Linked DNA regions of Tribolium castaneum. The protein of the gene in region 2 purifies or fractionates together with the protein of the main gene of each other region. This does not show direct contact. Links are inferred from orthologs where the notes say so. Each region holds a gene or a part of one and is shown on either strand. Other genes may lie near its edges. The genes, in order: ATPCL, Stip1, Tpr2 and mrj.

The links.
Region 1: the proteins of Stip1 (region 2) and ATPCL fractionate together in Homo sapiens (co-fractionation; 3 studies listed by BioGRID, with this or other methods). This does not show direct contact. The link is inferred for Tribolium castaneum from reciprocal best matches to the Homo sapiens genes STIP1 and ACLY.
Region 3: the proteins of Stip1 (region 2) and Tpr2 purify together in Homo sapiens (affinity purification with mass spectrometry; 4 studies listed by BioGRID and IntAct, with this or other methods). This does not show direct contact. The link is inferred for Tribolium castaneum from reciprocal best matches to the Homo sapiens genes STIP1 and DNAJC7.
Region 4: the proteins of Stip1 (region 2) and mrj purify together in Homo sapiens (affinity purification with mass spectrometry; 3 studies listed by BioGRID and IntAct, with this or other methods). This does not show direct contact. The link is inferred for Tribolium castaneum from reciprocal best matches to the Homo sapiens genes STIP1 and DNAJB6.

The regions. Positions count from the first base shown.
Region 1 is NC_087401.1:14,140,511-14,148,547, forward strand, and holds part of ATPCL (ATP-citrate synthase), read left to right. Parts: intron 1-2,309; exon of another isoform or gene 2,310-2,470; intron 2,471-4,958; 5' UTR 4,959-4,969; coding exon 4,970-5,174; intron 5,175-5,230; coding exon 5,231-5,767; intron 5,768-8,037. UniProt on the Homo sapiens protein: Catalyzes the cleavage of citrate into oxaloacetate and acetyl-CoA, the latter serving as common substrate in multiple biochemical reactions in protein, carbohydrate and lipid metabolism.
Region 2 is NC_087395.1:1,456,043-1,464,520, reverse strand, and holds the start of Stip1 (stress-induced-phosphoprotein 1), read left to right. Parts: upstream 1-3,419; 5' UTR 3,420-3,517; coding exon 3,518-3,526; intron 3,527-3,577; coding exon 3,578-4,655; intron 4,656-8,478. UniProt on the Homo sapiens protein: Acts as a co-chaperone for HSP90AA1. Mediates the association of the molecular chaperones HSPA8/HSC70 and HSP90.
Region 3 is NC_087398.1:7,329,753-7,338,441, forward strand, and holds Tpr2 (dnaJ homolog subfamily C member 7), read right to left. Parts: upstream 4,392-8,689; coding exon 4,258-4,391; intron 3,942-4,257; exon of another isoform or gene 3,830-3,941; coding exon of another isoform or gene 3,804-3,829; intron 2,287-3,803; coding exon 983-2,286; intron 933-982; coding exon 832-932; 3' UTR 615-831; downstream 1-614. Other genes in the region: uncharacterized protein LOC103313090, read left to right, coding at 4,454-4,715, 4,762-4,988, 5,035-5,262; mRpL10 (large ribosomal subunit protein uL10m), read right to left, coding at 5,278-5,471, 5,520-6,026, 6,080-6,101; uncharacterized protein LOC658204, read left to right, coding at 6,457-6,483, 6,601-6,918, 6,980-7,265, 7,309-7,563, 8,311-8,473, 8,527-8,689. UniProt on the Homo sapiens protein: Acts as a co-chaperone regulating the molecular chaperones HSP70 and HSP90 in folding of steroid receptors, such as the glucocorticoid receptor and the progesterone receptor.
Region 4 is NC_087395.1:20,016,109-20,023,674, forward strand, and holds the end of mrj (dnaJ homolog subfamily B member 6), read left to right. Parts: coding exon 1-75; intron 76-2,779; coding exon 2,780-2,962; intron 2,963-3,009; coding exon 3,010-3,274; intron 3,275-3,324; coding exon 3,325-3,424; 3' UTR 3,425-4,015; downstream 4,016-7,566. Other genes in the region: Nep1 (neprilysin-1), read right to left, coding at 6,195-6,467. UniProt on the Homo sapiens protein: Has a stimulatory effect on the ATPase activity of HSP70 in a dose-dependent and time-dependent manner and hence acts as a co-chaperone of HSP70. Plays an indispensable role in the organization of KRT8/KRT18 filaments.

The DNA.
Region 1 (8,037 bases), on a different chromosome or scaffold from region 2:
AATTATGTATGTTAGTCGCGTTTTTAACGCGTTACGAGTGATTTGAATAGCACTGGGCGGTTTTTTCCCACACATAACCTTCAAATTTTTACCGGCGTCTCGAAGCACTTGGAATGTGAATGAGGCGTTAACGGCGCACTGGGGTTATTAAAGGGGGCACAACTGCAGGTTCCTGACCTGGGGAAGGTCGTCTCCGATTGCATCAGACAAGAGATAAAGTTGCAAAGTTGTTGTTTTCACGGGGCTATCACGCTGTTTTTGGGAGGGGACAGGGCCGGCTTAGGGGGACATTGACGTCACATACAGTACTACGGAATGCATTGTTATGTGGGCAAGGACGTCAGGTTTTCAGAGACAAATCGGAAAAAACCTAATTGAATTCAAATTAAGCAAAATCTCCCAAGTTCGAATTTTGTTATGAAAATTTGTTCAGGAAACTAAAACTAGAAAAAAACTTATAGAATTTGGAATTATTTTGAGCGAGAACAACTAATGTTAATTATGTGACACTTTTGTGATAATTTTTATCATTTGAAGGGTGACGATAGTGCGTTTCCTTTTCTACAATCACAACAAGAATAAGATTATTTTTTTGGGTTTCCTTGATTTGTTTGTGTAGGTTTTTTGGCTCTAAATTAATTGTTTCTTACATTTTTAAAATATTTTAATCAGGACACGTAACATACAGGTGGGCTTTCCAACACAATTTATCTACAGAAAACAGCTATTTGTTGATTTTATCAATGACATAGTGCTTCCTTTTTTAAATCCACTTAATAAAGATTCTTTTGAAGATAAAAGGAGCGATTTTATGTCTTTAAAGTCTTTAAAGTTTATTAATTTTTCTATTTCTGTTACTTAATACGGAGAAAATTGGTCAAAAAGGAATTTTCCAATTAATGATTAACAATTTTTTATGAAAAATTGTCTGGGGAATTCTAACCGTCTTGATACGGAACTAATAGTTTTCGAGGAAAAGAATTTTTTATTTTAAAAAGTCAAAAAAAATTAAAACTCCTTCAAAGTGAAAGCTATATTTCCAGTCAGTTCCAGGTTTTCTCCATTTAATAGATAATTAAAAGCAGATTTTGTCGGTTTGTTAAATTTTTTTTGAAAAATGCATTTAAAACTTTACAATTTTGAAAAACTAATTTTTGTCATTTGATGCGAATTTCAAACCCAGAATAAATTTTTTGGGCTATATGTACGAAAATCATTTCGACCAATCGTCTGGCGTCGAGAAATCGAGAAAATTTTGGTTACTTTAGAAGTTATCGACGAATATATTAAATTTTTTGGGTTATTTTTTGTGCCCTTTTTTTATCTTCTTATGTTTGGGTGCGTATTTTAAACCCAGAATAAAGTTTTTTGGGCTATATGTACGTAAATCGTTTCGACAAATCGCTTGGCGTCGAGAAATTTCGAAAATTTTGCTTTGTTTTGAAGTTATCGAGGGATATATTAAATTTTTTCGGTTATTTTTTGTGCCTTTTTTTTCTATTTTTTTTTCTTCGTAAGTTGGGAAATTAGTTGAGCTTTTCAAAAATACCAAACTTCAAGAGCCACGTCTGATAGTTTCGGAGATATTTGAGATTTTCTGCTTCAGAGGAATTGAAAAATTACCAAAATTTTTGAAAAAAAATATAAAAACCGAAATACATGCTTTAGAATTTCACCTAATGACGTTCGCTTTGTTCTTTCGAAATAGTTGATTACCAAACGCTTTTGGAAAAATAAATGCCCACATGAACAATATTTGTTTGCAGCAAGAATATTAAAAAAAAGTGTATAAAAAAATCAAAAAACTTTTTCGAAATAGTTGATTACTTAACGTCTGGAAAATATAAAGCCCACATGAAGAAACTTTACTGTTATGTTTTACTTTAGAAATAGTTTACAGCACGGGCGAAGGGAGTACAATATTTTTGGGCCGATTTTAAAAAAATAATGTTCACACAACAAATAAAATTCCCTATTTGCACAGCAAGCACCGCTGTTTACCTAGTGACATGCGATAAATTGCAAAAATACTGATCAAATAGTAAAAATAAATCGCGTGATTTGAAAATATAATCGATGACATTTTCGTAACACGCGTCCGAGCAGTGGTGTCATCCACCGACCCCGACCTTCATTTCCTACACCTCCTGTATACCGCAAGGTTGCCAACCTAACGAAATTTCCCAAAATTTTCAAAAAAAAAAAATCAAAACCAGGTGAAACTCGTCAAAAATAGGCCCAGAAAAGGTCTTCAATGACCTCTAAATTCAACGTCGGGACAATCCGGTCGTCCCCCCAACACACATCGTACGATAATACTTCATTCACGCGATTTGCTGGAATCTGGTCAGTCTTGGAGTGACTTTCTCCGTGTCATATTCTTATCACACAAATTCCTTATCAACGCGATATTAAACGAGAGATCGCATCTCGAGTGGTGCAGTGCACTGGTGGACGTGGAAACGTTAAGGTAAAGTCCCGGTTTTACTTGAAAACATTACACGTGTACGTGTGTGTGTGGTATGTGTCAGTTTTTAATTTTTCATAAGGGCAAGGTCAACGCATTCGAAATGTGGTGTGCGTTCGATTTTTCTTTATTTTCATCCGAGTTTCACCGAAATTAGAAAGTCGACATAAGTGAATCCCGCCGAAAATTTTGCAACAATTGGTTAATTTAGGTCGATTATTAATTATTTATAGCTGACGCTACGTATTATTACTATGCAATTTTCGATTTTTTATCAACTGCGAAAACAATTTTTTTCTTCGCGACGACACAAGTAATGAATTACTGACGCTCATGTTAACTTTTTTGAGTGACTTTCTCTTCGTAATTATCGTAATTGATGGAAAAATGTAATTAAAAATTGTAGTTTTTTTCGTGTAGTTACGGTAACTACAAAATTATCGCATTATAATACAGGGTGAAGCATTTAACTCGTTTATGAGTGTTTCTTAATGGAAGACTGATTTGTGGATAATTGGCAACTCTCACATTTCTTAAATGGTTACTTCCGGTGAAACCGGAAGTGCATAACTAGAAATGCAAATGTGTAATTGGAGTGCGTGCAAGTTCATTAATTTGACACATTTTCATCCAAATATTAATTAATTAAGCAATAATTTAAATTTCACTTTTCGTTTGATTAAAATATTTTTTTTTGGCCTTCTGTACAGTCACAATAAAATAGAATGACACCTCTACCAACCTGTCCAAACGCACACACATACCGAAAAGATTTGTGGCTTCGGTGTGGCATTATTTTTAATCGTGACTCTACATCTAATTATACAGACTGAACCAAAAATAGAGCACAAAATTTATATCTTTGTAAATAGTCATTAAAAAAAAAGAAAAGTTTGATTTAATTTTTTTACAGTGACATTCTAATTTCTAATTTTTTTAATGACAACTGACATTCTTGTTTTTTTTTTGATAGTACGTATTTTTATGGTAATAAGAAAAAAAATATAGAAATGAAACTATAAATAAAAAAATTATAAAATAAAAAATATATTGATAATTAAGCGTAATCGATTTTTTTGACTTATTTTATAAGTGGCAATACTTTTTTGTATTTTTTTTCTAAATTGGCATAAAATCATTTAATACGACACCTTAACACAAAATATGGAAGGACGGAAAAAAATAAAGCTTTTTTTATTTTATTTTCTTTTTTTTTTATTTTTTTATACTTACCGGAATGATAGAAATATGTAAAAAAATTAAAAATGACGTCATTACTCAAAAACGTATGACGTCAGAAATGTCATTGTGGTGTCAAAATGTAGCATTAAAAATAATAAAATCGACCTGTTTAAGGATTTTTGGTTTTGGTACTTTTGGTTCACTCTGTATACATATTATTAAAATCCATTTAAAAAAATATACTGAATGAACACGGTTTTGAATGACAATTTTTAGGTTAATGTTTTAACTACTGTTTGAAGTTTGAAGTGTCAGATAATAATTAAAAACCAAATTCAGTACTACCAACCCAAAAAGTCATTCTTGATCACTGGATATAAATTTATTTACAGTTGACAAACTTGCTTTTATCACCCAAATTTCACAATCAAATTTTATCAAATAAGTTGCCAATTTAATGTTGCCAACTCTAGATAAAAATATTTTGATATTTGGGAGATTTTTATTATATTTTAAAAGTAATTCAAATAAATTGTGTAAAAATATATTTTACTCTGTCATGCTATATATTAATTAATTAATTTTAATTATATGCACTTCTAGAAAAAAATTACTGACAGTGAAAAAATAAAGTATTTAATATTATTAGATATTATTAGTTTTTGAGATATAATACTAAAATGTGCTATTAGTAGAGTCACCCTGTATACGTTTTAAAGAATTTTGAAACTGACATTTAGTTGAATTTTAATTTTTTTATGTTTAAAATTAAGTTGGCATTTAAGTGCCATATCTTTTGTTTCTACATTTTTCAATGTGACCAACATAATTTCTGATTTACAAACACTAATACTATTTTATTGTGGTTGTATTTGCCAAAAAAACTTCAGTATTGCCAACTTAAACAAACAATAAAAAAATCATATGATACTTTTTGCTATAAATTTAGATTGACATTTGGTTACAAAGAAGCGAAAATTTGACTATGTGTTTAATTAAATTATTGATCAAAAACTACAACAACATAAAAAATGTTTAATGACAAAAAATGAGTTAAAACAGTAATAAACATTCTCTTATTTTTAATTTCGACCATTAACACAAAACAAATTAACTACATGGAAGATAACAACATGACGTCAACTATTTTTGTTTTGTTCGTTTGTATTGTCACTATTTATAGAAGAGAATACATAACTCTACTATGACTTTTTTTACTAGTTCAGTTATCTATGTGTTTATTTATTTATAGACAACATTGTTGTTATATTTAAATAACATTGATTTTTTTTATCAATTCGTTGATTAGAAACTAGAAAAATGTCGGCGAAGGCAATAAGAGAAGCGACCGGAAAAAATCTAATCAACAAACACTTACCTGGCGGTACCGCCGCTGTGCAATGTCGCTTCGCTTCGGTCGAACCCGAAACGAAATTTTCCGAATTAGTGGCCACACATCCATGGTTGAAAAGCGAAAAGTTGGTTGTGAAACCTGACCAACTTATCAAACGGAGAGGAAAATTAGGTACGAGCGTAGCGAGTGCTTCAAACTTTTTAAACTATATATATTTTTTTATTTAGGTTTGATCGCTGTCAATAAAGATTTAGCCGAAGTGCAGCAATGGATAAGCGATCGTATGAACAAAGAGCAAAAAATCGGTGCCGCCACCGGCAAACTTCGCAATTTTATCATCGAACCTTTTGTTCCTCACAAAGACAACGAAGAAGTCTATGTTTGTATTTATTCGCACCGACATGGCGATACGATCCTGTTTTATCATCAAGGTGGCGTTGATATCGGTGATGTTGATTCGAAAGCTGTGAAATTGGAGGTTCCTGTGGGTGAAAGTGTCGATGAAAAGCGCATCACGGAGGCTTTGTTGAGTCAAGTTGATGCGAGTAAAAAGGCGATGATTGCGAATTTTGTGAATAATTTGTACAAGTTGTACGTTGATTTGTATTTTACTTATTTGGAAATTAATCCATTGGTCGTCACCCAGAAGGAGATTTATGTTTTGGATTTGGCGGCTAAGTTGGACGCTACGGCTGATTTTATTTGTAAGCCAATGTGGGGCGAGATTGATTATCCGCCGCCGTTTGGACGTGATGCATATCCAGGTGAGTCAAAAATTGTTTGAGAAATACAGTGTGTCTAACATAATAAGTATAGTGTTAGGCGCAGTCGGTAGGAATTTTTTTTGTTTTTTGGTTTTTTAATAAATTGGTTAATTAATTGAGACTTGACTGCCGCCTGACTTACTTGGAATTTTTTGTGTGTGGTGGATAATCGGGGATCTTAGATTTCTGACAGTTAAGAAATTATTTAGTTACTCTTTTTCCATATATTTATTTTTTTTTCGAATTTTTCGTGTTGTAAGACAATGAAAATGTATTAAAAGACACAACGGTTGGGCGCAGTCGGTAGGTAAAGAAATCGATTTTTTGAAATTTTTTCGAAGAATTAACTCAAATGTATATTTTTGAGCAAATTTTTATGCAAAATATAATTTTTTGGTTACTTTTATCTAGAAGTAAATTTGAAAAAAAAATTGTTTACAAGTTATTTCAACTTTTTAGCTTTTAGCTAACTTGTACCCCACATGTTTTGTTATCAATTTCGACACTTACCAACGTTTTGATTGCTCTGCGTTGTAAACTAATGGGAAATTTTTTATGAGAAAGTTTTTAATTACCACTTGAATGCTGAAAAATGTGCGTAACTGCTCGAAAAACGCCTAAGTACCAGACTTTTTACTTTATTTTTGACTTATTTTTAACGAACTTTAGTCTACAATTTTGGAATTATTGGACGGTTTAGCAATTTTTTTAAAGTGTGCTTAAATGCTCGAAAGATGCAAAAATTGCTTTTAAAAAAAACATACGCTGTTTGGATAGAAAAGCTTCCCCAATCGCTCGCAAAACGAAAAATAATGTAATTTTCGTTCGAATTTTTTACGATTTTTTTGGCTCAGTTTAGGTGAAGTATGAAAAAATCGTTGTTATTATTATCATTGGATTGGCAAATTCGATAGTTTTTTTATGAAAACACTTTAATGTTCAAAATTTTATGAAAAAAATTCTATGACTTAAGACGGTCTAGTCAGCTGCGGTATTCCAAAAATACAAAAAAATTGGTGTACTGTTATAATAAATAAAAATATATGCTATATTCTTTAGAAAAAAGTTGAAAACTAACCAAATTAAAAAAATTGGTTTGCCATTGTTTTTTTTTTTATTTTATTTTGAACGACACTATTTTTTATTTTTGTGTTTTTTTTTGTAAAAATTTTGAGATATTAGTAGTATCGAGATAAAAATTTTTACTGGGAAGAAAAGTTTAATAAAAAATACACAAAATTATTTTTCATGCTTTTGCAGATTTTTTTTAATTTACAATATCTTACTTCTAGTTTATAAAATTTATTAATTTCTTATATTTTTTTCAACGTTAGTATATTTATGTGTTTTGTTTCTAAAGCCATCCAAAATTACTATATACAGACTTAATCAAAAGTAACGCACAAAATTTATAGCTTTCTCAATAGTCATTTTTCAAAAAAAATTTCTAGCACTTAGATTTTATTTTTTTAAATACTTTATTTTGACATTATAGAGCCATTTATGATGTCATTTGTTTTTGAGTGGTGATGTCATTCTTATTTTTTTTTAATGACAACCGACATTTTTGTTCACTGAGTACACTTTTTTACTTTTACCTGGTAATAAGAAAAAAATGAAATTAAAAATTAAAAAATTATGAAAAAAAAATTGCTCATTAAACATGGACATGAGGCGGCAATTGTTTTTTATTATAATTTTTTGTACAATTTGCATGAAAACACTTAATATATGACACCTAAATACAAAAACAAAAACAAAAATAAACAAACACTCTTTGTAAAACAAAGCCAAAATAAAAAGATAAAGTTCCTTGTGCAATACTCTCAATAATTTTTATAACTTTTTTATTTTATTTTCTTCTTTTTTTAAGTTTTTTTATTTATTTTTTTGAACTTTTTTGTACTTTTCAGAAAGATAAAGATGTGTATCTGTCAATAATTAAAAATGACGTAAGAAATATTATTTGTGTCAAAATGTCGCATTTAAAAAAAATAAAAAACTATTGAATTTTTGAACCAGTTTTGTTTATTTTTTCTTTATATTTTTTAATTTTCTGGTTTGAATAGTTCTTTTTTACCCACCTTCAATTTAAACAAAATATTTCAATATTTTTTTATCACAAAAACGTGTTTATGGGCTGTGTTGCTGTGTTTTAAATTTTGGTTTATTTTTGACGAAATTTTGCTAAAACAATCGTGTTTTTTTGCTTCTTATTTTTACGAAAAATATTTGTTTTAACCAGTTTTTAACTATGGCTAATAACAGAA
Region 2 (8,478 bases):
AAATTTTGCACGTTTTTAGGCTTTATAAATAAGTTTAGTTTATGCAATTTGCTTTAACCATTCAGAAGTTATTTAATTTTTTCTACAATTAGGCATTTCTTGGAAGCAGCTGCGTACGTATTAGCCACCAGCAAGATATTTTCAGTTATATAGAAAAAACTTAACTTTAAGTATCTAACAAAAAAATATGTGTGTTTGCTATTTAGGCAGAGAAGCATTTGTCTGTATTTTACGTTTTGGGTCTATTCTTGTTAACAAGCTTTACAAAAAAGTCCTACATAAAGTTTTGTATATTTGAAGAAAATTTGGGCTGTAAAAGACTTACTTAACCCCGATATCTAGAAGTCATTTAGTAATGATTGGTTTTGTCCCTTTTTTATACTTTTTTTTACATAACTACGAGTAGTACTGGTATTAAAAAGCTATTTTCTTCTGTATCTCAAAAACTCACGTGAAAATTTGCGTTTGCAAAAAATGATTTATTATTTTCTTTATGTACATATGAGTATTTTTTGTGATTTTTTTTACAATTCCATACAATAAAATTATTATCAATAATTCAAATAAAAATACATATTAATACTAGTGTTAATAAAATTAAAATATGAAAACATTAATTCTTCAAACTGTCATTCTAAAACAAACGATGCTTAAATAATATTTTGTACAAAAATTTAAAGTCAAAACCAAAGTTCATTAAATGTCCAAAATACGTATTAAACAAAATCTTCTTACGGTAAATACAAAAAATACAAAATCTGAAAAAATCAAAGATAAGTTTCAGTAAAATGTTTATTCCTAAAAAATGGTTAAGCAAAATAAAATAGAAGCAAAATAATTTAACCGACAAATTTCAGTGCTAAAATGTTCAAAAACAAAAGTAGTTTTTGACTATTTTTTTTTGAAATTAGTTGGTTTTATGATTGAACATTTTAATTTTATTAATTTTGTTCGTTCTGTTCTGTTCATGTCATCACAGTACATCTTCCCCTACGTTTTTTAAATTATTATGAATATTTGTTTAAAATTTTAATAAAAAAATATCAAAACAATTTTTTCAAATAAGTGTTACGTTGTCTCAAATTCTAATTATTTAAAACACTCAATTCCTTTTATCGATTTAAAATTGGATTACAAATATCGCCAAAAATAAAAAAGTAAATTTTATTACTACTTGTTTTAGGTAAAACTATTACTTGAAATACTGAGTCTGTTGGCAACACGGAACTTAAATTTTTAAGGATATCAATAGAGTACGCTTTCTGTTAACAACAATTTAACATTCTTGTGGGGTTGTACGTCAAATAATTGTCAAAAAAAATCGAATTCGGTTGCAATTTTGCAAATTACGAGCACAAATACTTTCAAATCTATTGCCAACTGACTCTGTATTTCTGGATCAGTCTATAGTAAAATAAATTTTATTACTACTTGTTTTTTAGCCCAGTCAAATTAGAAAAATCGGTGGAAAAAATTCCTAGAGAGTTGGAGTTTTTTTTTTTTAAAGCTTTCTTTACACTTGGGTAGACATATATCAAAAGTCCCCAAGGTTGGAGGGCGAGCTTGAGGAGGGGGAGGGGGTTAAAGCAGTCTTTTTTTGGTTTTTTGCTTTAACGGAAACTGTTACTTCTATCAATTTTTGTCTTCTGATCAAAATTAAAGCCAATAAAAAGCATTTTTCTTGTAGGACTAACCATAAGCGAGTTATAGAGCTGGAAAAAAATAATCGTATAAAATGTGGGTCATCTTCAGATGCTGAATTGTGGTCTTCATCTGGAGAGCCCGAGGGAAAAAAGTATTTTTCTCCCTTATTTCCCACTCTTAGCTTAGGTGGGAGACCCTTTATACAGCATGCTCAAAAACTGGCGCACCAACTCAGTAGTACGTTGTTGAGAAACATGTGTACATTATGGGAAAAATCTTGAAAAAAATCCTAAAGTCATATTTTAAAAAATCTCAAACCACAAACTTTTTTTGTTAACTTCCTCAATTTTTATTATTTTTTAATGTTTTTATGTTTTACAGTAAGTAATCGTTCCGTAACAAAACGATGAATAATTATTTTTAAATTTACTATCAGATTTTAGCAGTTTTTTTAATTTAAAAAATTAAAATTCATCCAAAAAATCACAATGTGTAGATGTGACAACACTGGGAATTATTTCCTAGGAAACCGTTTCAAAAATAATTTATTTTTATTGTTGCTCAAATTCTATTGCGATCATGGCTGTTAGACAACGTTGCCACATATCATTTATCTAAAATTAGTTATTTATCAATAACTTTAATACAAAAATTTTTTTTACTATGTACCATAAAAATCAAGTATTCCGTATTTAAAATTTCTTAATTAAAACGTGTTCTTTTTCAATTAATAGTGATATTTTAACAATTATTTTTAACTTTTGCTTATTTTTTGGTTAATGAGCTAACGAGAGATAAAGACAACATTTCCAAGGCTAATAAAATTTTACGTTTTTCAAAATTTTCAATTTTTTTAAGGTTCGATTAAATTAAGGTATACATGTGTTATACCATAGAACTCAGAAAAAATGCTCTTTTCAAAAATATTAATTTGACCCTTGTTGTTATTCAAAAAAATCAAGTTATCCTTGTATCCGAAGAACAAATGGAAATATAAATTTAATAAACATCTGAAACGATACAATTTATATACTCTTAAGCATATGCCCAATTTTAATAAATTTTGATTAATAGTTTTTATAATATTTAACTGTATCCATATTTCAGTGATCCTGTATAAATACTTATGGTATACTAATGTTTAGTTATACAATGTCATGTTGATACCAAACTTCAAAAGCTAGTAGCTCGCTTACGGTTAGTCATACAACAATAAGGCTAGGACCATTTTGTAGGAAATTTTATCTACTTTAATTTTGATAAGAAGATAAAAATTGCTAGGGGTGACCGTTTTCGAGATATAAGCAAAAAAAAACAAAAAAAACAGTTTGAACCCCTCCCTTTCCTCGAGCTTGCCCCCCCATCTTCGGGGACTTTTGGTATATGTCTGACGAAATGTAAAGGAAGCTTTTAAAAAAATTACTCTCTAGGAGTTTTTCCACCATTTTTGTCTAATTTGATTGGGCTATTTATCGCACATTGGGTTTAACTCTATTGTCCTCTTTAGCCTTAATGCTCTATCTGCCTATATTTAATTTTGTTTGCCTTGTTTTTATTTTTTCTGAAAACTGCGCACTCTGGTGACAATAACAGAACTATCGTGTACCGAGACAGGCAACCAACAATACACTATTTTTTTAATTTTGATTAAAAAACTATTTTCAATGAAATTACCGTTATGTACGTTCTTTCACTAGTAGAATAATGTAATTGAAACAATGTTACGCTTGATTAATTAATAAATTGTCTGAAAATGTCAAAAAATATATCCCTTTTGACAGATCGTGTGGTGGGGGAATCTTCAATGACTGGAAACTTCTCGAATAAGAATCGTCGAGAAACGTGTTTTTGTGATTATTAAGTGCCGGTCAAAATGGAACAAGTAAGTACACATTTATTTAATGCAAAAATCCTTTTACGATGTTTCGTTTAGGTCGCCGCTTTGAAAGACAAAGGCAATGCCGCACTGGCCGCCAACAAGTTCGAAGAGGCAATCAAACACTACACCGAAGCCATCAAACTCGACCCCTCGAACCACGTCCTGTACTCCAACCGTTCCGCCGCCTTTGCCAAAGCCAACAACCACGAATCGGCTCTCGAAGACGCCAACAAAACGGTCGAACTGAAGCCCGACTGGGCCAAGGGCTACTCGCGGAAGGGGGCTGCCTTGGCCTACCTGGGGCGCCTGGACGAGGCCATCGCCACGTACGAGCGCGGCTTGCAGATCGAGCCCGCCAACCCCCAGCTCCAGGAGGGGCTGCAGGAGGTCAAAGCCCAGAAAACAGCCAAGGGGTTCCCCAATCCTTTCAACCGACCTGACCTCATGGAGAAGCTTCGCGGGGACCCCCGGACCAAGCCCCTGCTCGATGACCCCAACTACGTCGCGACGCTCCACATGCTCAAAACAAACCCCAATCTCCTCGGCCAGAAACTACAAGACCCCAATATTTTGACCACGTTGAGTGTCTTGATTGGAATCGATCCGGGGGAAGAACCGATGGAGACCGAACCGGTGTACACGCCACCGAAGAAGCCCGAACCGAAGAAAGAACCCGAGCCGGACTTACCCGAGAACAAGAAACTGGCGAAAGCGGCGAAGGAACAAGGGAATGAATTTTACAAAAAGAAGAATTTTGAAAAAGCGATCGAGTTTTATAATCAGGCGATTGAACACGATCCCACCGATATCACGTTTTATAATAATTTGGCGGCGGTTTTTTTCGAACAGAAGGATTACGATCGATGTATTAAGGAGTGCGAGAGGGCTATTGATATAGGGAGGGAGAATAGAGCCGATTTTAAATTAATTGCAAAGTCGTTTCTTAGGATTGGGAATGCGTATAAGAGACTAAAGGATTATCAAAATGCGAAAATTTATTACGAAAAGTCAATGTCCGAACATAGGACGCCTGAAATTAAAACTCTGTTGTCCGATGTTGAGAAGATTATCAAAGAAGAGGAACGGAAAGCTTATGTTAATCCAGAATTAGCTGAAAAAGAGAAGGAAATTGGTAAGTTTTAATTTTCGATGGAAAACAAGTTGGTAAAATTGCATAATGTGTGGCTCTATTTATTGAGCAAGTGAACATGCTCAGGTTCCTTGTTAAAATGATCAATTTTTAAATAAAAACACGAATTTCAAAGTAATAAAAAAGTTTACTCAATTACCAAAAATTTTAAATAAAGAAACATCTATTAGCTGTTTCAAAACTATAAAAACACCAACCTCGCATTTTACTAAATTATTTTTAAAAATAAGGTTGATAAAACTGTAAAGTAATTATTAATAATTTGTCATTGAATCCACAAATTACATTATCTATTAACTTTTTGAAGTGCATGAATAATTTATGACAGTTAGTTTTTAAAGAAAATGCGACGTTGGCGTTTTTATAGTTTTGAAACAGTTAATACTTACATTTTTATTCATACAATTTAGAGCATTTACTTGCAAAATTTGAAGTAAAAGCTTTTACTTAATTTTATTCATACGGCCCTTTTTTTATCGGTTTTTATTTTTTCTTCAGCTGTCATTTCGAATTCGTAAGAAAAATCATTGCAAGTTCATATAAACGCGAACTATTTAATTAAAATTCTAATTATTAGAACATTTTTTGATTTTATTTTAGAAATTGTCACCAAAAACTAGAAAATGATTTAACAATTTCTTCACTTTTTACCGATTTCTATTGCTTCTTAGTTATATATATTTTTTGTAAAATTACGTAATTCTTGACTAATTTTACTTAAGAAAAAGTGGTTATGTAATTAACAAATTTAGATCAAATTTTTCTCTGAATGTAATTAAAAAAAATCACAAAGTAGCAAATTTTAAATAAAACAAATGTGCCAATCTTAATTGCAAGAGCAAATAGTTTTTATTTTATCTAAAAGGTTTTTATGTTTTCTTTAGCTGTTGTTACAAATTTGTAAGAAAAACCATTTAAATTCTGATAAACTCGAATTATGAAATTAAAATTTTGTATATTAGAACATTCTTAAATTTTATTTTAGAAATTACCACCAGGAATTTAGAAATTTGCCCAAACCTTTAAACGCTTGGTTTTAAATTAAAAAAAAAAGCGATTTAACAATTTATCTGCATTTTTGGCCGATTTTTGTTGCTTTTTAGTTGTATATATTTTTTTTATTACGTAATTCTTGGCAAATTTTTCTTAAGAAAAGTGTTGTGTAATTAATAAATTTACATCAAACTTTTCCTGCCCGTAAATTAAAAAAATAAACATAAAATAGCAAATTTAAATTAAAAAAATGTACCAATCTTAAACCCAAAAAATACTAATTATGGTATTGCCAACCCGATGGCTATTTGACACTTGATTACAAGAACAAATATCTTTATTTTATCCAAACGGTTTTTATTTTTTCTTCTCCTGTCACTTCCAATTTGTAAGAAAAATCGATTAAATTCGGATAAACGCGGATCATTTAATTAAAAATTTATTTATTAGAACATTTTAAAAAAGAAATTAAAAATTTTTTGAACAAATTATTAGAACGCTTGGTTTTAAAATTAGAAAATCATTTCTATTGCTCCTTAGTTAAAATTGCGAAATTTTTGACATTTTTTCTTAAAAAAAGTGGATATTTAATTATTAAATTCAGGTCAATTTTCCTCTGCCTGTAAGTTAAAAAAATACACATAAAATAGCAAGTTGTTTTAGACAATTTTATACGAAGGGCTTCATCATTCGGTTCCTTAAATAAAAAGCAATTGCTTCTTACAAAATACGGCAAGAACAAAAAAAATGTCAGTAATTTTATTTTATTTTTTATTTTAATTATTTTGCTTTGTCTTTAGTTACATTACTTTTATCTTTTTTAAATTTTGTTTATTTATTTTGTCGAGATCTCTGAAAATATGTGAATTTGTTGCTCCAAAACATTTTTGTTCAAAAGACTCAAACTTTTTCGTTATATAATTGTATTTCCGGCATTCGAATATACAGGTTGAGTCTAGAAAAAGTATTTTTTACAATATCTTAAAAACTAATTTGTGGAAATGTAGAATTTTGGCTTGTGTTGCTTAAATCTCTTGAGTTAAATGAATTTTTGCGTCAAAAACAATCCATTTTTCTTGAAATTATCAAAAAAAAATTGTAATATAGTTCCATTTAAACGATTTGTTTGTTTGTTTCGAAGAAAACTTTCGAATTACGATGACATGCTAACACAATAAATTGATTACTTCATGAATCGCCAGTTATCCGACCCTTTATTTAATTTATTCTCTATAAACAAATTGCTATAATTTGAAAATTACTTAAACAAACTACGGGATTATCCAGGAATTGTTTATTTTTTCATGCACAGTTTTACAAATTTACACCATTTTTTTGTAATCCTTAGTTTTTATGAAAAATTTTTTTTTGTTAAATACAACTCTGTGACAAAATTATTGCATACTTCTAAATTCATAAATATGGACTTATGCTTTTCGCTAATTATTTTTTTTAAGAAGATAAAAGAGAATATGCCCTCTTGTTCTTACCAATCCAATAATAACATAACTAATATGTTTTCTTGTTTAAAAAAAATCCCTAAACTCGTTGTAATTACTATTTTTAGGTTCTACTAAAAATTCTTAGTTAAATATATTTTTTCTAAAATTGCGTAATTCTTGACTAATTTTACTTAAGAAAAAGTGGTTATGTAATTAATAAATTTAGGTCAAATTTTCTCTGACTAATTCTTGACTAATTTTACTTAAGAAAAAGTGGTTATGTAATTAATAAATTTAGGTCAAATTTTCTCTGAATGTAATTAAAAAAAATCACAAAGTAGCAAATTTTAAATAAAAAAAGTGTCAATCTTAATTACAAGAGTAAATAGTTTTTATTTTATCTAAAAGGTTTTTATTTTTTCTTTAGCTGATGTTACAAATTTGTAAAAAAAAACATTTAAATTCATATAAACTCGAATTATGAAATTAAAATTCTATATATTAGAACATTCTTAAATTTTATTTTAGAAATGATCACCAGGAATTTAGAAATTTGACCAAACCCTTAAATGCTTGGTTTTAAAATAAAAAATAACGATTTAACAATTTCTCTGCATTTTTGACCGATTTCTGTTGCTTTTTAGTTGTATATTTTTTTTAATTACGTAATTCTTGGCAAATTTTTCTTAAGAAAAGTGTTATGTAATTAATAAATTTACATCAAACTTTTCCCGTCCGTAAGTTAAAAAAATTAAAATAAAGTAACAAATTTAAATTAAAAAACTGTACCAATCTTAAACCCAAAAATTACTAATGTATTGCCAACCTGACGGCTATTTGACACTTGATTACAAGAACAAATAGTCTTTATTTTATCTAAACGGTTTTTACTTTTTCTTCACCTGATACTTCAAATTTGTAAGAAAAATCGTTTAAATTCAGATAAACGCGGATCATTTAATTAAAATTTTATTTATTACAACATTCTTACACTTTATTTTAGAAATCATCATCAAAAATTTAAAATTTATTTGAACAAATTCTTAAAACGCTTGGTTTTAAAATTAGAAAATCATTTCTATTGCTCCTTGTATTTTTTGTAAAATTGCGTAATTCTTGAATAATTTCTCTTAAAAAAAGTAGATATTCAATTATTAAATTCAGGTCAATTTTCCTCTGCCTGTAAGTTAAAAAAATACACATAAAATAGCAAGTTATTTTAGATAATTTTATACGAAGGGCTTCATCATTTGGTTCCTTAAATAAAAAGCAATTGCTTCTTACAAAATACGGCAAGAACAAAAAAAATTCAGTAATTTTATTTTGATTATTTTGCTTTGTCTTTAGTTATATTACTTTTTTTTTTTTAA
Region 3 (8,689 bases), on a different chromosome or scaffold from region 2:
CCTGAAATGGAAACGCGCAACGGCCATCTACCCCACCGACCACATAATCTCATCCAAAGCACGCGAAGTTGGAACGTGGGGATTTAAGCCACAGTATGAAAACGTACGTAACAACACTCGTACTCCAATTCCTCATAATTTTCGCCAAACAGGTCACAAACGTGAATTTCCGCTTCTTAATGTCCAACGAGTATATGCGATTGTGGTTCAAGGAACGCGATCTCTACCAGAAAGAAAACTATTCCAAGCAAGAAAAAGCGCAGAACGAGTCGAGTTTAAAACGCGGTTTTGTGCAAAGGATGAGGACAAACACCACGCTCGAATCGAGAGAACTCCCCGTAATCCAGCTCAAACGGTTTCAAAACATTATGTCTAAAGTGGACACGAGGAGGAGCACAGACGAGAAGGCAAAAATCTGTCAACGATACAAGAAAACTATGGAACCCGTGCAACTCTCGCGGTACAAACCGAACTGTACAGTTAAACCTAAAACAATGACAAACATAGATAAAAGTCAAAAATCAAAAGGGAAGAAGAAAACGCCACGAGAGGACGCCGATTCGGGGGACAATCAGCCAGGAAAGTGTGGACTTGTATGTAAATTAATAAACTGATAAAGTATTATACATATATTAAATTTACATTTGGAACGATTTACAATAATGAAACAAGAAAACTTGTGCAGTCTTCCTCAAAATAAATAAACAGAAGAGGCATTAGGAAAATAAACGGGTTAAACTTTAGGATTTGTTAAATCTAGCACAATTTACTGTCAAGAAGGAGTGGAATGTGAGGGGCTTTAGATTATGACTTAGACAGTACACCAGGCTCCTAACTGAACTGGAAAGGAAATCCCGTGTTAAAACTGAAATCATTGGGGCAACTGTGCGCTTGTCCAAAGAACGACTGAAACACTTGAGTCGGGTCAATATCTGCAAAAAACCTCCATCACCCCTATTCCAACCCAAAAAAACCGCCATACCTGACATTCCCCCATCGAACTCATCCATGTCTTGCCCACTATCATACCTGGCCTTTTTCTTCGGATCTGACAAAATCCCGTATGCCTCCCCCAGCTCCTTAAACTTCTTCTCCTGGTCTTTTTTAACGGCGTCCGTAGCGTTGGCATGCCTGTCCGGATGCAACATCAACGCTTTCTTCCTGTAAGCTTTCTTAATCTCGCTATCGTTTGCGTTCCTCTCCACTCCCAAAATCTTGTAATAATCCTTGCGTTTGGACTTTTTGAGTGCGAATTTCGCATCTTGGAGCAACTTGCGGTGCTCACGACTTTTATTCAACTTGCACACTTTTTCGTAATCCCGGACTGCGTCCTCGTACTCGCCCAAGTCCATGTAGCAGCTCGCCCTTCGCAGAAGGGCCTTGAGATACGTGTCGTCGAGTTCAAGGGCCGAAGTGCAGTCATCGACGGCTTCTCTGGTTTTGGTGAGCCGGTGTTGGACTGTGGCACGGTTGAAGTAAAGTTTCGCGTTGGCCTTTTTGTTGAGAGGGTCGATTGCTAGTGCTTCGGTATAAAGAGTGAAAGCTTCCTGGAACCGGCAGTTTTTATACGCTTCATTGCCACTTTCCTTCGTCTTTTTGAGTTCTTTAGCTCTCTTGTAGATGTCCATAGCCTTTTTGTGGTCGGGTGCAAGTCGCAAGACTTGCTGGAAGTGGTTAAAGGCGCTGTCCAAATTATCTTCGTAATAAAGACACATTCCCCGTACGTAAATCGCATCAGCGTTTGTTTTGTCCAAATGCAAGGCCGTGTTGGCGATTTCTTGCGACTCCTGGTATCGTCCCAAGAAAGCCAAACATTCGGCTTTCATTATTTTGTAACGTGTGCAAGTTGGCGCTTCATCCAAACACCTATCCATGCAGTAAACAACTTTTCGGAAGTCTTTCTTTTCCATTGCTTTTGCTGCCTCTGTTTCGAACTGTCTCAGTTTTTCGAACGAACGAGTTTCATTGTTGATGTTGGCGTTCTTGTCAAGCAGATTGATCTGTTTGATGGCATTTTCTGCTGTTGTAAGGTCGCCAAGGGCTATAGCGCATTTCAATATTCGAATGTAGCCTTTGCTGAATGCGGGATCGATGGTTATGGATTTGCGTGCATCCTCCAATGCTTCTTGAAAGTTGTTCAACATCATGTAACATGCCGAGCGGTTCGAGTAATAGGCGGCGGTTTCGGGGCATAGTTCGATGGCTTCGGTGTAGAGATTGAGGGCAGATCGGTATTGCTTGACTTTGTATAATTGATTGCCATTTTCTTTTTTCAATTCGGCAAGCCTGAAACAAGCACGGCTTTCACAGGAACAACGCAACTTAAGTGTGACCAGAATGAGTGAAAATTGCCTTTTAATGGAGTGAATCACGCTATGAAGACAGAAAATTATAGGAAAGAACTGGGGAAAAAACGAATATTAACAATGATATAACGGAAGTTCACATAACTACCAACTTATCAAATTTAATAAGAATTTGGCTGAGTAACTAACGATGTTAACAACCTATTAAAAACAATTAAAAATAACGACCCAAACAAACATAAAAAGCTTACTCTACTGTAAACTTTTTCTCTCATTTTCTTCTGTCCGTTTTAGTTTGGTAGTAGTTTGCCATAAGACAAAGAATAAAATATTATTTTACCTAGTGCGGGGTCTGAATACAAAATATCTTAAATAATTAAGTAGGATAGAAAGGACTTGAGGCATTAGGAAAAAAGTTAAAGCTGAAATACGAAGAACTATAACTTAGGAGACGAAACGAGATACAAAATCGTACGATTTTCTGAACCCAAAAAAATAGTACGGTATTCGTTTTCAATTAATTTAAATCCAACCAATTGAATAATTACTTGGAGATTTCCATAAGAAACATGAGAAAAAAATATTTTTTAAAGATAAATTAAATGGGAAATTTTATCAGTTTTAATTTTGGTAAGAAGATAAAAGTTGATAGGAGTAACCGTTTCCGAGACAAAAAAAAAACAAAAAATACTTCTTTAACCCCCTCCCCCTCCTCAAGCTCACTCCCCACCCTCGGGAACTTTTGATATAATTCTACCCAAGTGTAAAGAATGCTTTAAAAAAATCCAACTCTCTAAGAATTTCTTTGTTTAATTTAACTGGGCTAATTCACTAATCTCCGAGACAAGGAGCAACAAACAATATTGCAGAAACAATATCTACACGTGAACCAGTAAATGACCTACCTACCAATATTACCCTAATTTCATGCGATTTGAAACGATACTTCATTAGAAGAAAATATTAACTTTTGTTTTTCTAATTTAGTAAATATTTAATCAATGAATTGATCTGATTTTCATTCGTGACTAAGCAAAAATATAGAACAAACTAGCCAATTAACATGCTAAACTGTGAAAATTTAAGGGCCATAAATCGTTGTTACTATAGCAACAACCAATAAAATTGCTAGATTTCTGATTTTAGGGTGGATTAAATTTTAACAGCCCTTTAAAACTTATAGCATGGACCTCAAAGTCGTAATATTCTGACGAAATAAAAACCTTAGTGGATAAAAATTCGTTACACATCCAGATTAGGGTTTTTTGAATTGGGTTCTCTTCAACTTTGATCACAATCATAGTCACAAATAGAGTTTGTAAATAAATCACATTGTTTTTATCTTATCAAAAACCAACACTCGTGTGGTCAATGTTTATTCCTTCGGTAGGTTACATTTGTCGTTAATAAACAACAAAGATAATCCAATTTAAAAGTGAGAACCTTACAGTTCTTATGCCCATTTATGAGGTAAACAAATTCAAAAACAACACTCACATATTGTGGCAATCCTCAACTTCCATGGTCTTTCTCGTTACAAATTGGTAAAAACCGCGAAAGTGTCACAGTGACAAGTTAGGAGAAATAATGCAAAGGCCATAAAATCCACGTTATAAATAAAATAACTGTCCAAACAAAAGGTTAAATTGTTAATTTGCACGCCGGACCAAATATAAACACTGAACTGTGGAGGAGTGAACCAGTAATTACAAAGGTGTACGACCTTAGATTAAAAATAACCCACGGAAATCGTTAAGACTGCACAAATCAAATTTAAAATCGCACCAAGTGGTTCACTGAAATAACCGAATCAATAGCAATTAATTGTGGGAAATTGCAGTAACAAATGTGAGTCAGTGACACTCGTGTCATCGACATTTCGACGTGAAACCCCACGAAAGCAGTGCTCAAAATCGAGGAATAAATCTAATTGTTGTAAAATAGCACTTACTCGGCTGGATTTTTTGGAATTATCAAATCTTCAGAGTCCATAACAACATCTTCCCCAAAATCTGCCATCTTGCACAAGTTGTGAAACGAGTAAGACCGATTCATCACCGAATTCAAAATTCGTACTGTGGGCATGCGCACTAGCTAATTTGTGACCAATCGATAAATTTTCACCAACGCGGGAATTTTGAAACGAAATGAATGGAAATGCGTTTGACAGTATCGCCTTCAACGCCAACAAATACGAAATCGACATTAAAAACTACTTCGTAACGCGCCAAGAGGACGACAGTACTCAGAGCGACACTTCGGACTCACAAACGGACCAGTACTTGGCCTGTAAAGGAGTTAAACTGCCAACTGCGGAACCACACATTTGCACCTGGGATTATTTAACAAAACCTGAAGTGATCCACTTGATGGGCATTAAGAGTAAACGACTCAAGAGGAATTTCATTGGTAGTAATATTACAATCGTTTAAAATTTGCCAAGTTTTCGTTGCAGAGGGAAAATTGCACAAAAAGCCCAAGGGACTTCCCCGGATCATATTCAGGGAGTTGATGTACTCTGTGACTAAATTCTGCACGTCTGCCAGTTACACCGTGGAACAAACTGGGGCCTTGTTGTCACAGTTCTACCTAACTCATTTATTTTTCACCAGTGTTTTGGATGTTGGTCCTGAAAAATTGTACGAGTATTTTAAAGGACTGCAAATGTGTCATTCTCTACCAGTAAGTGATGGGGGTCAAGTGTGGGTAAAAACTGTATTATTTTTAGTTCCCACCACATAGTATCAAATTGTTTAATTTGGAACAAATTAAGAACAATATGGTTTATTTCTGTAAACTATATCTTAGAAACCTGCCCTTGGTCAGGTTCTTGTGTTTGCCCAATTTTTCCCTATGTGCCCAACACCGCGTACAACCAGACGTCGCTCCACGTAAAAAAGGGAAGAAAAAAGGGAAAGGCAAAAAGGGTAAAAAAGCAAAAAGAAATGATCTATGAAATACATTTATTGAGCTATTCTAATTGTTTTATTCTTTGTTCGAGTTGTGAAACAAGGGTGCTTTGATGTTGGTTCAACTGCTGATGTATTGTAGTGGCTGCACTGTTGAGTGTTTGGACCAAAGCTGCTTGAGCTGTTTGCAAGTTTGGTATTTTTTCCAGTTCAATTAATTCGTCTTTACTCACAAATTTGCCCTCAAATATGGCAGCTAAAGGCATAATTAATTAAAAATAACAAAAACTGGATTATACAATACCTAGTAAGACAAGCTGGGGAAACCTTTTCGTGATTTTTAGCAATTTCTTTACTTCCGGTTGCGGACTAAAGACCATAATGTTTTGCGAGACGTAAAAATCCAAAACCGGTTCAAATTTCGTATCCTTGACTGCGATTTCAAGTGTTTTCTTTCCATATTGTTTAAAAAGCATGTCGCTTTTTTTGAACATGGCATAGGCTTTAAACCTTTGGTCTGATTTCATTGGATTCAAGTGATAAAAGGCAATGAGTCGCGAAGTGTTGAACCACATTCTCAATTCGCCTGCAATTATTTGCTGATACGGGTTGTGTTCATCTTTCACAATTTTATCTTGCGATTTTGTGCACAAGTCAATGGGTGTTTTGCCCTTTTTAGTACTGATAAAGAATGGATTCGTTAGTGTCATCATAATGGATCGTTCGCGATGAACGGGTTTCGGCCGCTGGATATTGATTTTGCCTCTGAAACGTTTCGCTTGGACAAGGGGGCTCAAACGTTCGAAAAGGCCTAAAACATTCATTTCAAAAACAAGCTAATGCATTATTAACTGTGTCATTCACCTCCTCTGGCAATTAAAGCCATTGTTTTAATTAAATTGGACAAAATTTCTAAAAACTGGTGCAGGGGTACATAACCTATAACTGTCAGGTTGACAATCGTAATTTTGGTTGCATAAACAACCGGCGTTAAAAATCAATAATAAGAAAAAAATTAGAAAAGCACCGGATCAGGATCAGTTCTCCAATGTGGCTTAAATTTCGATGAAGTGGCGTAATAAGTGAATAATTAACCGATTTCCGAAGGCTAAATGACCGTGAATGTCGCCTAGCAACTTGCGGCGACGTCCAGCGTCTTCGGCGTCGTAGCATACGATGCTTTCTAAATGCCACAAGAAAGGTAGAGTTTTCTTTCATCCTAGTACCGGTAAAGAATATGAATGAAGTCCAATTATTTCAACGTGCAGGTGAGTCAATTTTAGTCGTGTGTAAACAATTCCGAAAAAATGATGTTCGCAAATCGATATTACGAGCGCTTCCCATTTCTCTATGAATTTTTAAAATAAAACTAAAATCAATTTCAGATAATTGCGTTGTTTATGCTTTCGTTGATCCCATGGCCGGGGCCCACAGTTTTCAAAATCTCGTGTCCGCGAGATAATGCCCGAATCGTGCGGAAAATAATCCAGAACAAATGGATACCGATTTTAGAAAAATACAAAGTCAGTCTGCCCATCGAGTGCCCCTTCCACCCCATTAGGGACATCTTCGGGCCCCAGCAGGCCGCCAAACAGCAGCACCGGCCCTCGCAATGGACGTGCGGCCTCTGCGGCAAGTCGTTTTTCGAGGAGAAATACCTGGACATGCATTTCGACAATCGCCATAAGGGTTTCATAAATATGGTACAAAAACAATTACTATTAAGAAACTGAAAATTTTCTTGCTTTGACCGCGTTTTTCCAGGCCGAAGACGCCGTGTGCCTTGCAGACTACTGCGACATTATGAGATGTGACGTCTTGATAACGCAAGACCCCAAAACCGTCTATCCAGACACCGTCAACACGGATATAGAAATCTGGCGCGAAGCTTCCTCGTACACCAAAGCCTTGGCGACGTCCGGCCCACGCGAAGTCGCCAAATACACCTTCAAGGATGGGATTTACCCCCATCTGCAAAAAAGCGGAAAAGCAACGAAGCCCACCAAGCATTGCCAGAAGAATGAAGCACCGGAAGCGCCTAATAGCAACGGTAAGGTTTTTTCGATTTTTCTGATTCTTCAAGTGGGTTTTAGAAGAGCGCCAATCTGCAGGCGACGACGATAAATTGCAGAATAGTTCGAATAATGTGTGTCAAAATGATTTGGTGGATTCGGCTTTGCCGGCACCGGACAACAGGCAGCAGAGAATAGCCGAACTGCAAAAGTTGAAAGCGAATTGTAAACCGGAAGAACTGCAGAAAATTAAGACGAAGTGCGAGATTTTGGTGCGCGATTGCATCGCGGGGCTGCTAATTCAACTCTCGGTGAAAGATTTTAAAGAAGTTGAAGGTAAGAATTTACATGTTTACGTAAAACTTGAAATTTAGTATTTGTATGTACGTACGACGAATGATAAATGCTTTTATTACTTATTCTTTTATAACTTTCTATTTGAATTTAAATGTGAGTTTAACGATTTTTTTAAATACTAATTCTAAAAATAGTTTTAACAGGTTCACCCCACGTTTTACCAGAAGTGCACGCAACTTTGTTTTTTGCATGCCGCAGTTATGTTTCGACGTAATTTAACGCAAGAATTAACACTTTTACACTAGCGAGACACCCCCTGTATAAAAAATTCTTAAGGGGAGGAATTCCTCCTTTTCCAAGATAACTGTCCACAAGTCATTTGCCGTCTATCAGTAGCAATATGAGCATGAAGTTGCATTTGTACTCGTATTGTTGCCCAATTTTCTAAGTTTTCTTTTTTCAAAACTAAAGTTGTGTATTTACGTTAAAAACTACATTCATTGAATAATCATTTGCAAAAAAAAAAATAAGTTTCTAACTTTATTCAGAAGGAAGATATGATGATTTAAACGAAAAATTTGACCAATTTTAACTCCTTGTTGAAGGGAAATAATGTCCAAAGAACACTTTTTAAAGATTTTAGATTATATTCTCCCCTACATCCCGAATAGAAGAATCCTCTAACTTTCAAAAACGTTACTCAATACGGCTGTACAACACCGAGGAAAATATTCATAATAATTTCCTCGCTTTAAAAAAGACAGATTACAATATATTTTATTTCAGACGAGTTAAACAGGGCTGTCTGTTGGTACTTGACGTGTGACCGGTACTGGGAGGATACGCAGGGGGATATCCGCAGCTTCCCTTGGGGTTTGCTCTGTATGATAATAATGGTTCTGTCCCTCGGCATCTGCATGTGTTACTACATCATTTGGGTCTTGTTCGAGTAAGTTTTGTGTTTTCGATTAGGAAAAAACGTACAAGGTGTTAACAATTTAGCACCGATGACGTCAGTGTTGCTAGTGCTAGTATGACCGATAGATCGACGCCTTCGCCGGCTCATGTCCATCGGCATGAGCCTCCACCACAGGCAGACGGTCACCAAATTTACACAGAGGATTATTACCTGGCTCCAGATAAAGATAACGAATACATATACGTA
Region 4 (7,566 bases), about 19 Mb from region 2:
ATAGGTCCACTAGTACAAGAACGAGGTCCTACAGGAGTCACTTTGACACTCATACCCCCTTTCATCGTTATTTCGGTAGATACAAAAAAGTGTGCTAAACGGGCCCTTTTCTCATCTCCAACAATAACAAAATGTGCAAAGTTCATTACAACATTCTAATTAATCAATGGGGGTATAATGATACTATTCACCAAGACGAAATTTACAAAAAAAGGCGAGACGCGAGTAAATAAAAGTCGACTATCTACATTTTCAGTGATATTTTTTAACTTAACAATTGTAACTCAGTCAGAATCAAAAGAGTATATCGCAACTCTTTTGTTTTTGTTTTGAACGCATCGTATATGTAGGTACTCGTGTTTTTCTATTTCGCTTCTGTTATGACTTTCTGGCACAGTTTTTGATAAAATAGTGTGGTAGTGTTACAGTCTCTGGAACTGTTCTGACGGTCCTCGGTGTTAATAAATAATACCTCGCAATTTTGGTAAGATGTTAACTCACCAGGGTTAACTATTTGAAAATTAATTTCCAAAAAGAAAAACACTTGCTAGAAACCGAATTTTCATTTTTTTATTATTTATGGCTAGGGACATTTATTAGGTTGGTATCGCTACCTTTGAGATGGAAAAGATTATTTTTTTACAGTAAGTGACAGTTCATGTCAATTTTTTGATTGTTTAACCTGTTCCCAACCCATTAGTAAAAGAACTAAATTATAAAAAATCTTAATTTTTATTTTATTTTTTTGAGAGATTTGTTACAAAAAATATTGTACTTAACTTGTTTGGAAAGTAATTTTTCACATTCGCACTTCATGCAGCACTCGTTGCGCTCGTGCAGCAAACAGAGTGCTCTTGTGGGAAATTGCTTTTTTCCTCGTTAGGTAATTGTTTTTAAATTTCTCCTTAAAAGTGTGATCGTACACGATAAATGTGTTGGTTTTTCATCATTTTACAATTTCAAAATTGATAACGACAAAGCCAATAATCACGAGACATATGAGTTACTTTTTTATATTTGTTTTTAGTATCTGTAACCATATTTGGTTATGTGTAATTTTACTCGTAGATTATGATTGCTTCTAGAAGTTCTAGAACAATAAAATTGAGAGACCTGTATGCAGGTAGAACTGATAAAGATAATAATAATTGTTTGTGTAAAAACAATAAATGTTATTTTAGTTAATCCGTAAAAACTTACGATTTCGTATTTATTTGTTTCTTGAAAAGATTCAAATTGTGCGAATTATTGAAACTGACCGAGTTTTTTTAGGATGGTACAGATTAAAAGTACACAAAAATTGTCTCTCTTCACAGAACTCGCTCCTAAAACATGTAACATTTTTTCACATATTGTAAAAGCAAAAATTGACTCTTTTTCCTATCTTGAGTTCAAAAAAGTTGCACAAAAACCATTGGCACACATTTGATGAATGGTTAGTGTCATTTAGCCAATCCAAAATCCTACTCAAAATTATTTGATCTTAAAATTGGACTAAATACTCGTGAGGCGGTTATGACGACATAATTGAAATTGAAATAATTTAACTTAAAGCGCGGATATAGAAAATCGGTTTTCGTTATTGTATAAGTAAAGGTAATAAGCAGTTCTAGCACTATAATTTGAGACAAAACTGTTACTTAAGTTGCCAATGCTTTTAAACTAATAGACAGCTGGATAATAATTGGAGGAGAAACAAGATCAAAAATAAGTCAATTTTCTGTGCTCAAAAGCTTCGGGTTTCGAATTTAAATTGTTTTAAAGATCTAGGTTTTTTTGGGTTAGACCTGTTTTAATTTGGAAATCAGTGTCGACATTGTCCTGAAGATGCCCCTCCTGAAGAGCGGGTGAAACGTCGACGCTGGGTTTCAAATTAACGCGGTCTAACCCAATTCTTTATTTGGTACTAGCCGCGAAAGCTTGTGTTAAATTGGTTTAAATTCAACTAGTTCACTAATTACTTGGAAAAAAAGGCAGGAACATTGGGCATCAAATTCTTAATACGAGTAAGTTGACCAAAATTTTCATAAAAAACATGAGAAAAAAAATTAAAGTTGCTTCTGTCTCAAACTTTTCAAAACGTTGCGAATATGGTGAAAGATACAAGAAAAATATAGGAAAGAAATTATTAAATTTAAATAAGTTGACTTTTCATGAGCCTTAGCTTTTAAATAAATTTGACACTTTACGAAATTCAGTATAATAACTAATTACAAAAATACAGACTTGAACCGAGCGTTTTGTGCCTTAACTATGTACGTACCTTATGGAAAAAACAACTTCTTAGTCCTTCATCAACTACTTTAAAAATGTGATCATTTTTCAAGAATAAAATTTTTCGAAATTATTTTTAGTTTTCGAGTTATTAAAAAACAATTTTAAATGGCACCCTACTACCGCGATTTTTTTGGTAAGATACCTTGATAAGTAGGCCGCTTGGGTCCGTGCTTTTCCCAAATCTGTATACATTTACTTCTCTCTTGCCCTTTTTTTGCGTTTTTTTTTTCATATCGTACTCAGTTAATTACATCAATGTTTAAGCTCCCCTCGATTTTCTTAGAGAGTGTATAATTTGTAATGAATTTGCACATTTGCTTTAAAATTCCGGCCTGTACTACTAAAATGACTAATTTTGGCATTTTCCGACTAAAATCTGCGGTTTTTCTAACTCTAGCCTCTTTTTTACCCTCTTAGAGCAGGTCCACAACGATTCTGAGGACTCGTCTGTTAGCTTTTTCTCCTTGTTGTAGCCCCCATTCATTGTGGCATTTTTTTCTAGATAAGAAACGTCGTATGTACGACCAGTACGGTAAAGAAGGGCTCATCAACGGCGGTAGTCGTAGTCGCAGCCGCCACGATGACGAATTCGACTTTGGCGGTTTCGGTTTCTTCACTTTCAGAGATCCGGAGGACGTTTTCAGGGAGTTTTTCGGGGGTTCTACTCTTGCCGACTTGTTTGGAGGTACGTCCTAAGATTGTTTTGTATTTTTTGTTAAGTTTGAGTCGTAGATTTTCACGATCACGGGCATAGAGACCGGCGACGGAACAGACATTCACATCCACAGAATGCTCTCAGTTCGAGTCTGTTCAGCCCGTTCGGGGTGAGTCTGGGGGGTAGTTTCATGGACGAGTTTTTCAATACGGGCCATGGGGGATTCACCTCCTTCAGCACCATAAATAGTACGTTTACAAACGGGGCGGGGGGCACGGCCAACGTCAAGAGGACGTCAACGTCGACGCGCTTCGCCAACGGGAAGAAAATCACCACGAAGAAGTGAGTAGTGGATTTTTGGTGGTATTTTGAAGGTGATTTTGCGGTTTCAGGGTGTACGAGAACGGGAGAGAGACGGTGATGACGTACGAGAACGATATCCTCAAATCGAAGACTGTGAATGGGGTTCCTCAGAGTCTGACGTACAGTTAAACACACTGCTACTTACAAAATTAGAAGAATCTACAATTTATGTGATCTTGATGTTGATCGATTTCTGGCCACGCAGTGTTGCCAAATTGTCAGTGTGTGTATTAAAGACTTCTTGCAACTGGTTTCAAGTTTTTTTTATTCAGTTGTACAATAAAATATTATGATTCTGTTTTCAGAATTTTTGTAGTATCTTAATTTTTAATAAGATGTTATGATGATGTAAGAATCGAGGAGGTTTTTACATCATTGCAGTTTAGGTTAGCTAGAGATAGGAATTGATGACGCTCTTGAACGAGAGGTGCTCAGGATGAGTTGTTTAGTTACTAGTTACATTTTTGTCATGTGAAAAAGTTCGGTTTTCGTTTTGTTTTTGCCAAGACTGCTCATTTTTTATTAAGCTTGATTCAAAGGAGGAATTAACATGGAAGAGATATTTTGTATTATGCAACGTTTTAATTTTAATTTAATATTAATTTGCTAGTTTTTTCCCAAGCACTTACTATTACTGTTAAGTACACAAATGATTATACTATTAATGTGTGCTTAGAGATGTACAGTCACAGTGTTAGAAAAAATATAATATAAACGATTTCCGCATTTTTTATTTTAATCCCACCAAAACAGACAGCTGGAAAACAGAGTTCTCACCCAAATGGGACCTTTACAGTCCAATAGAACACCACTGTGTCCATCCGAATTGGCTATCTACAGTTTACAACTTCGTTTATTAGTAGTGCCGAGTTTTTCGAATTGTTGATTTTTTGTGTAAAAATATTACGTTTCAAAAAATCGTGTTTCTCTAAACATATCGCTGTCGAAAATTAACTACTCTTGTTAGAATTTCGAAATGTAGAAAACCAGAGTGGTAATATTAAAAATTTCACCACGTTCTTGTACTTATTGCCTTTAGAAGTCTATAGATAATAATTTTTTAGTGAAAACATCAGGTCTATTCATTCAATGGTTTTGGAAATATCAATATTTAAGATTTAGTTAAAGTTGTTTTTTATCGTCTGTTTGATTGATTGATAACTGATAACTAATTCGGTATTTAGGGAATGCAGACACACTTTAATTTGGTAAATTGTTTATTGTCAACGTTTCGCCAGCTTTTTGGGGCTTTTTCAGGATAGTAAATAGGGAACCATTTGGGTCCAGTAAGATTTAGACAAAGTTTTGGTGGTTCGCAACGGCACAGGCCAGGAATACAATCATTCAGAGTTCAGAGACGTTCTTTCTAATTCTTTACAACATAATATTATTATTATTATCCGAGGGTTAATTTTTAGATTAATCAATAAATATTAAAGTAAAGATAAAAAAAATGGTAAAAATTTGGTTGCACACTCTAACTACTTACATAAAGGAAGGTGAAACAACGAACCCATTATCTTTCGAAGCATCAGATAAATTAATAAGGCTTTCAAAATAACACAATCTTAGTCATTCATTAATCACAGTCATAACTTAAATTTCATTTCAAATCTGTACAAAAACCTGAACAGCGGATGATAGGTAGTTTTGAGGTCAAATAAGACGCGAATTAGGATTCTTGGTATAAGAAACGAATTTTGGTTTATACTACATGATGCTAATGATAAAACCTGTCTACCCATTAAAAGAAAAAAATAATTATGAAATGTGTTAATAGCGAAAACGCAAACAACACAAACCTCAATGCGAAAATTTGGTATAAATTTACTTTTTTTGTTGAAAATGAATCAGACTAATAGTACGATAATATTATACCGTGTGACTGCATTTATTCGCTTTCTGGAGTGACTAACATGAATTTCTATACAGTAACTTTATTCCATCTTCGATAAACCTTTTTGCAAAAAATGATAACAGAACGCTGATCCTCCCTCTACAATGCTTTGAGCTTCTATTTCTAATGTGGAAGTGTGTTGACATTTTGAGTTATTTTGGTGATTTGTGTTTACTAAAAAGGCTTAGTAAATCTCAAAAAAAAAATTTTTACAACTTGCAGGGCTTCGTATGAAACAGTTTTTAGGTCATTTTTATCTTCATATGACTTTGCCACGTATTTCCAATCTGTTGTAACAAGTTTATTATAAAATTGTTTTGTCATTTGCTTTTTGTATTTTGAGTTTAAATGCAAGTTTAGTCAAGAGCGTTGTGAAAATTCTATGACTTAAATAACATGAGATCGAAAATATACTCAATTAGAGCTAGCCTTGAAAGCTTTAGCCAGATCATATGCTGTGTAAAACTTCAAAAGTGCCGCCGTAAATAAACGGCTAAAATATGGCCAAAGTTCTACAGGCACAGCTTGCTCTAATTGAGTATATTTTCGATCTCATGTTAGTGTCTTCAGTAGCAGTCAATTTTTGTTTATGTTAATATTAACCGCATTTTGATTATGTGTCGAATTAAATATCTACGGAAGATTTTTCGTAAAAAATGTGTGTTATTTTTAGATATACTAATTTTTTCGTTGGATTCTACCTACTTTCGGGTGAAGAAAATTCTTGTTAGTATCTTAAAAATTATATTTAATAATAAACAGTACACCCAGTAATAATGTGAAAATACATACTTTGTATATTAGTACAGACCATGTTTAGAATAGGAAAAGTAGGTTTATTACATGTAAAATTGCGTACAGTTTTATATAAAACAATAATATTTACATTGCACAAGTTAGGTGTGGGCCCCGCTACAAAGGCCCGGCGATAATATAGATGAAAGTGTTAAATTTTTGCAAATACAACGAGACACTTGACATAGAGCGCGTGAAAGTCCCATTTTACCAAACGCTACATTTATTAGTCGGGTTCATCGGCGATCCGAGCGGGCAATCGTAAGCTTTGGCGAAATCCCACGAGTTGGAGAGAGGACCCAACACCCGGATGGGTCCGGGCGAGTGCACGCTGGAGCGGACTTTGGTCAGTGCATCCTCTGGCCGCATAGACCCGCACCAGATCTGGGCGTAGTTGAGGAAAAACAGCTGGTCATGGGTTAGGTTCAAACCGGGCAAGTCCGGCTCTTCCCCGTGCTGGGACACCCATTTACGGTACGCCTATTGAACCCATTTATCATTAAATTCATTATACCAGCAGGTTTCCAGAAAATACTCGTAATATTTACAGTCTGAAAAACTCAATCTGTTGGCAACAGATTAAGTATTTTTGTTCGTAATTTGCAACACTGCAATCGGATTTGGTTTTCTTCGACATTAATTTAACGTATATACAACCCCACAAAATTATAGAATTGTTGTTAACACACTCTATTGTTGTCCTTGCAAAATTAAATTCAGTATTGACAACAGACACAGTATTTTTAGATCAGTCTGTCTAATAAATTTGATGAAATTTAGTAGATTAAAAAAGTATAGGGTCGCTAAAACGTATAGATACAGTTATATATTATAAAAACTATTCATCAAAGCTTATTGAATTTTGGTGAATACAACTAATAGGGCCCCTCCAGAACACTTGTTTTTAAACATTTCTTACCCCTGTTTTTAACAGCCTTTTTAAAAGTAGCATTTTTCAAAGATATTACTTTATTTACTGTTTACTCGTTTTTAAAGTATCTTTGCTAAATGTTCGCCTTTTTGCCGTTTTTCTACTGGCCTAATTGAGCACAAAAATGAATACGGTTCCGATTAAACAAATTCGGACAGGCGACAGGGTCCTTTGAGCGAAGCGAATTCACAGTCCTGACTTGTTTTATAAGGACTTTAAAAGAAAAACTGTATTTATTATTAAATTAGGATTATGCGACTTTACCCTGTTATAGTAGTTATGAAATATTCATGCACTTTAAAACATTAATAGCTAATCTAATTTATAGTTTAAATAAGAGATCTAATCATCATTAATAACTATTTTACATTTTTATTAACCTTCTGTAGTTTTGAAACCTACCTACTTTATTAAAAAAAAATTAACTAATTAAATTAAGCATTGGGAATGTTGTCTGTATCTGTTGTACATACCTAAGCTCTTTGCCGCCTGAACTTCGAACAAAAAATAAGTAAACTGTATTTAGCGGCGTTTTGGCGACTCTGCATAATCTGCTGCATAATATAAAGCAAATAAAATTTAAAGGACAAAATCAGCTGATTCAAGTCCCGCCACTAAAATAAGATATTTTTACTTCCTAATAATAAA